Linked DNA regions of Mus musculus. The protein of the gene in region 1 interacts with the protein of each later gene in a pairwise test. Links are inferred from orthologs where the notes say so. Each region holds a gene or a part of one and is shown on either strand. Other genes may lie near its edges.

What was found.
Region 2: the proteins of Iqub (region 1) and Tmcc2 interact in a two-hybrid assay, tested with the Homo sapiens proteins (2 studies listed by BioGRID and IntAct). The two-hybrid records come from large-scale screens. The link is inferred for Mus musculus from reciprocal best matches to the Homo sapiens genes IQUB and TMCC2.

The regions. Positions count from the first base shown.
Region 1 is NC_000072.6:24,497,775-24,501,604, reverse strand, and holds part of Iqub (IQ and ubiquitin-like domain-containing protein), read left to right. Parts: intron 1-175; coding exon 176-337; intron 338-419; coding exon 420-592; intron 593-1,206; coding exon 1,207-1,362; intron 1,363-3,830. UniProt on the Homo sapiens protein: Adapter protein that anchors the radial spoke 1 (RS1) complex to the A microtubule of outer doublet microtubules in axonemes. The triple radial spokes (RS1, RS2 and RS3) are required to modulate beating of the sperm flagellum.
Region 2 is NC_000067.6:132,355,690-132,358,305, reverse strand, and holds the end of Tmcc2 (transmembrane and coiled-coil domains protein 2), read left to right. Parts: intron 1-488; coding exon 489-800; 3' UTR 801-1,991; downstream 1,992-2,616.

The DNA.
Region 1 (3,830 bases):
GTGAATAATGGATTTGTTAGCTTTCTTTAACCATTTCACAGCACGGGCATATGTTGATTGAAACATCCTTTGTTACAAATTTAAACATATATAACATTTTCAATTTAAAATAAAGAATAAACAGAAATTTCTATCTCTGTGACATAAAACACCCTAACGTTTTCATTTTTCTTAGGCATCATTGTTGGGAATAATGAATCTCTAATACAATATGGAATCAAACCACAAGAAATTGTTCAAGTGGAGGTGTTTTCCACACTTCCTGACCAATATCCAGTCAGAAGAATAGAGGGCTTGAGTGAGGGCTCCCAGATCATAACGGTCACCATTCAGACCAGTGAGTCCTTAACAACTGTTAGACCAAGTGTTTTAGTGTGCCCTTGTCGAACTCTCCTTCAGCCTTGCCTTTCATTCCTTAGGCATCGATCGCTATGAGGAGGTAGCAGTTGAGATAATAAAATCTGACTTCCACAAGCCATTTCTTGGAGGATTTAGACATAAAATAACAGGACTAGAATATCACAACGCTGGAACACAAACTGTACCTAGAAAGATTCCTGAAAAAGACAATCTGTTCTGTAGGGACACCCAGGTAATATTTTTATCTTTCTGTTTTTGTGTGTGGCAATGGTATCCTGGTTGGTCCCCTCGAATTTCTCTTTAACTGTGCCCCAATCTGCACAGGTTTGGGACTGACCTCACTGAGGTGACAGGTAATGAAGAGATGATGGATAAGCTGGGATCTGTTGAGTCATGTGCTCTGATAGAGACGTACCAGTGGCCCAGAGACTCGGCACACTTATTATACACCACTGGGTATGGAATCTACTGTGGAAGGTGGCTCAGCTCTTAGCGGGTGTCTAGGGGAACAGGTTCAAATTGCAGCCATCAGAGAGGAGGAAGCTGGAAATGATATTCTCTTCACATACTGTCAGCTTCCTCACTGTGATCTATGGAAGGAAGGCTTTGCTATTGCTCTGAGGCTGATCTGGGAAAGCATGACCATTCCCAGGATCGGAGGCACTGGGGTCCTTACCACGGCCATGCTCATGGCAACGACAGACATTCACTCAGGTTGCCGTCCATCCACTCTCCACATAAATAATGACAACTAAAATAGTTACTCTCCACTTGTCTATGCTTCTAAGATTTTCTTTACTATAGAAGTCATGTAGTAGGTGCTTACTCTTCATGTTTTCATTTTAGACAGTTTTTCAGAAAAAAAAGCTACAACAAACTACAAATACCACCTCCACTCAGATGACTAAAATTGGTGTGTATGTATCAAACATGACCGATAAACTGCTCAAGCCAGGAAATTACTTTTCAGCAGCAGAGTACCACGCTCGACGGTTGCATGCGGTAAGAGAGTGTTCATTGGGGTTGCACACTGAGAATTAGAAGCGTATGCCAACTGTTCTCTGTGTATTTCCCTAAGCATAAGTGTGAGTTGCATTCTATTGTTACTAAAGGCAACCATGCTGAACATCCCTCTACAGAGATAACCAAAATTAAAAACTTTACTAATTCTTTCTGTTCCCTAAGGAATCTCCTCAGACTCTTTTGTGTAGCCTCTAACCATTATGAGACTTATTAAACACTTCTGTCCCTTACCTTTATGCCATTCTAGTCGCATGAGGACAAGGCAGTTTGCATTCTCTGATAAATATATAATCTCTTCTTTTTTTATTGTTTGGATGATTTATCTTTTTTTTTCACCATTTCCAACCTAATTGATCTTTTACAGATAAATTACAATAGTATATCGATCATCTACCATCACTTGGGTGTGAGTAAAAATGACCTGAAAGTAGATACACACACACACACACACACACACACACACACACACACACACACACACACACACACACACATTCTGATGCCAGGCTCTTTTCTATCCTAACCAGACCTAGATATTCAGAAGTGAACATGGAATTCAAAAAACCTCGAGCCTGTTAACTCTTTTCTCCTATGGGAACTCTACCAGAGTCAATTTTGGGCTAGCTTACTAACCCGGCTATATCTCTTGGCGTTGTCAAAGCTGTTTAGAAATGTGCCAGCATCACCTGCAGCACAGACAAAGGTCCAGCTTCCTCCGGAGCTAAGTGAGAAGGGTTGTGAGATGTGTCCACTCTCTGAAGATTAGCACAGCACCTCGGTTATGCATCAGGACTGTGTTTCCTTGTTAAAGAGTGTTAGATCTTCCAGGCAGGCCTCAGATGCTGCATTCTCACTGATCTCAGGTCAAACAGTGAAGTTCTTGACAGTTTATGATTTTAGAGAGAGAACAAAGCTTCTCAGTGAGGAAGGGAACAGTAGTCATTCAAAGAAGGGGGTTGCAACGTGACATCTTGAAGGTGCAGAGAGTCCTCAGGAGAAAGAAGAAAGAATCTTGCTTTTTTAGTCTGCAGCTGGCTTCATTAGTGCCATTAGATTGCCAGCCCTTGTTTTTTTTTTCTTTTTAGTTTTTATTTTATTTTTGAGATTACAATATAATTACATTTCTCTCTTCCCTTTCCACCCTCCAAACCTTCCCATATACCTCTTCCTACTCTCCTTCAAATTCATGGCCTCTTTTTTCACTAATTGTTATATATGTACACACACACACACACACACACACACACACACACACCTCTATGTGTGTGTGTCTCTCAGTCTGTATAATACTGCTTGTTATGTGTATTTTACTTTTAGAGCTGACCATTTATCACTGGACAACCAACTTGTAGGCTTTATTTTTCCCCTGGGGAAGACCACTTCCCTTGCTCCCAGCTTTCCTCAATTGACTAGAGTTCTTGACGTTGAGGCCTTTTGGACTTTCCCCCACCTATCTAAATTGACTACATGACTGCTCCATGACATGATTAAGGGCAAGGTGTTTATCATAGATATTAGGGAGAAAACAATATAGGCGTCAGCAAGAGTGCAGAGAGGAGGGAGAGAAGGGAGTAGACTGAACATGATCAGTAGACTGGAGATTTACATCGACTGTCCCTCTAGAGTCTGATCTCTTACACACATACACATAGTCTTATAGTACTGTATGGCTAGATTTCAAAGCCAAAAATGTGGCTCATTATTCATAGTTTTATATTATTGTACATATAATAATGTCTCAGAAAGAAATAAAGGCAGACTGCCAGTATTGTTTCGTTATAGAATTTGAGCTGACACGATCCTTTCTACCTTTCTTTTTTTTTTTTTTTTTTATAAAAAATAATTTTTTTTCCATTTTTTATTAGGTATTTAGCTCATTTACATTTCCAATGCTATACCAAAAGTCCCCCTTACCCACCCACCCCCACTCCCCTACCCACCCACTCCCCCCCTTTGGCCCTGGCGTTCCCCTGTACCGGGGCACACAAAGTCTGCGTGTCCAATGGGCCTCTCTTTCCAGTGATGGCCGACTAGGCCATCTTTTGATACATATGCAGCTAGAGTCAAGAGCTCAGGGGTACTGGTTAGTTCATAATGTTGTTCCACCTATAGGGTTGAAGATCCCTTTAGCTCCTTGGGTACTTTCTCTAGCTCCTCCATTGGGAGCCCTGTGATCCATCCATTAGCTGACTGTGAGCATCCACTTCTGTGTTTGCTAGGCCCCGGCATAGTCTCACAAGAGACAGCTACATCTGGGTCCTTTCAGTAAAATCTTGCTAGTGTATGCAATGGTGTCAGCATTTGGAAGCTGATTATGGGGTGGATCCCTGGATATGGCAGTCTCTACATGGTCCATCCTTTCATCTCAGCTCCATACTTTGTTTCTGTAACTCCTTCCATGGGTGTTTTGTTCCCACTTCTAAGGAGGGGCATAGTGTCCACACTTC
Region 2 (2,616 bases), on another chromosome or scaffold:
GGACTGTGTCACATGGTGAGGCAGAGAGATTTGGGGGTCAGACTATTCCTGACCCCCAAAATCTTGTAACTCAGATATAGCTCAGAGTCCAGCAATCCCACCAGTGACTTATTTCTTTACAGTAGACACACACACACACACACACACACACACACACACACTTTAAAAGTTCACTACCAGCCGGGCATGGTGGCGTACGCCTTTAATCCCAGCACTTGGGAGGCAGAGGCAGGCAGATTTCTGAGATCGAGGCCAGCCTGATCTATAAAGTGAGCTCCAGGACAGCCAAGGCTATACAGAGAAACCCTGTCTCAAAAAACCAAAAAAAAAAAAAAAAGTTCACTACCCTAACATTGCCATGCAGAAAGCAAGCTTCCAAGCTTACCCCTGAGGCCACACTGAAGCCCTACTGGAATCAGCACAGGTGGACTGGGCTCAGTCTAGTCTCAGCCACCCTGGGCTTCCACATCCACCCTCTGTCCCCACAGGAGGCCGTGGAGTCCTGCCTGACCCGAGTCACCAAGCTGGAACTGCAGCAGCAGCAGCAGCAAGTGGTGCAGTTAGAAGGTGTGGAGAACGCCAACGCGCGCGCCCTGCTGGGCAAGTTCATCAACGTGATCCTGGCACTCATGGCCGTGCTGCTGGTGTTTGTGTCCACCATTGCCAACTTCATCACCCCCCTCATGAAGACGCGCCTCCGGATCACCAGCACCGCCCTCCTGCTCCTCGTCCTCTTCCTACTGTGGAAGCACTGGGCCTCCCTCACCTACCTCCTGGAGCATGTGCTGCTGCCCAGCTGAGCGGCTGCCGCCCCACCCTGTGCTCTCCGGATCCCACTAGCCACAGGCATCTCCAGGAGGGCCCGGGGCTCCTGCGTCCCTCGGGGTCTGTCATGTGACCTGTTTGGCCCCTAACTGTCCCTTCTTTTCACTGCTTCTGTCTGACACCATCTCCCTTTCGGCCTGAAGGTTTCAGAGAGGGTGCTCTGGGCTGGAGGGAGCAGGGACACTCTCAGCCAAATGGAGCAGTGGGGAGACACCAGGGCTGCATTATTTGAATTATTTTGCAGCCACATGGGACTTTTCTGGGTTGACAAGAGGATGCTCTAGTCATGTAAGCCACTAAGATAGAAGGCCAGTCTCAGTTTCCCTAGGGAAGAGCCCATCCTGGAGGCAGCCACAGTTTCCTCCCATGGAGATGGTCTGGATAAAAGCCAGTGGGAGGCCCTGCTGAGCCTAGAGAGTGCAGAAAGGGGAGGGTCCCCAGCCTTGGGGCCAGAGGGCAGGCTTGGCACAGCCACTGGGAGCTCAGCCTCCCCTCCTCCTGCTTCTCCTTCCACTTGAGCTGGTTTGAGACTGGTTTCTGGAGGCTGTGGGGTGTAACTTTGGGTTTGTATTTTTTCTGCTCATCTTTCTGCCTGTCACCGGGTGTGCTGTTTTTCTGAAAAAAAAACAGGCCCCAAGGGCCCTGAGCCTCCAGCCCAAACCCTTAGACCTCTGGGATCACGTTGAGTTCTATTTATTTATTTACTTATTTATTTATTTGTACCCACCCTTCCCTCACTTCTGCCCAGCTGGGCTCCAGAGAGAGGACCCTGCCCATCCTCCTTTTGAAGCCAGGACTTATTCTTGGTTCATCATACTCCAGACCATGTATCCTCTGGTGTCCTGGCTGGAAGAAGGGGCGTGTGGCCATGCAGCCCGCTCTCCCAAGCTGTCCCAGCAAATGGGCAGGAGGGGCATGGCCTCTTTTATATATATATATCTATTTATTTTATATGTGTGTTTGTGAGGAAGAGGATATTTGTCATTTCCTTAAGGCTCTGGAGTGTTGTGTTCGATTCTGCACAGCCCAGCCTCCCCGAGGGCCTTTCCAAGCACAGTGGGGATTTCTTAGAACAGGAGAGAGGAATCCATGAAGCAGGAGAAGCAGTGCCTGCCAGCTGTGGTGGACCTTCCTAAGAAATAAATATCCTTTATGTTTTCAAACCATCCTGTCTGAGGTCTGCTGATTACACTGTCTCTGAAAAATCACAGGATTTCTCCCCACACTGAAGCATTCTGGGTATCATCTGCTGGCCAGATGTTGTCTTCCATACTGAATGAGGAACACACACACACACACACACACACACACACACACACACACACACACACTCACCTGCCTTGCTCTGAGCAACTTAAATGATATGCCTATCAATCCATCCAGCCCCAGCTTTGTTGGAGCACTTCCCAGAAGGGAAATGGAGAAGCGCCCATAGATGCTGTGACCAGTTGTAGCCACAAGGGGTCAGCAGAGTCCGTGCTCCAAAACCTCTCTCAAGACGAAGTCCTCACAAGGCTACTGGCTTTAGCTTGGCTTTGTTACACTTGTTCAGCTGAGGCAGGGAGTACCAGCTTTCCAAGTATGGTGTGGAGGCCTAGCACTTAGTGCCTGCCCTGTGGTTGTAGCACCTACCCCTAACAGCCCCAAAGCACTTCCCAGCAGGACCTTTGTGGATATTTGCAGTAGGCCCTTTGCAGGAGAAGGCAGCAAGAGGAGCTATGATAAAGCAGAACAAAAATAAACCAAAAAAAAAAAAAAAAAAAAAAAAAACAACCTTTGGTCTCAGCACAT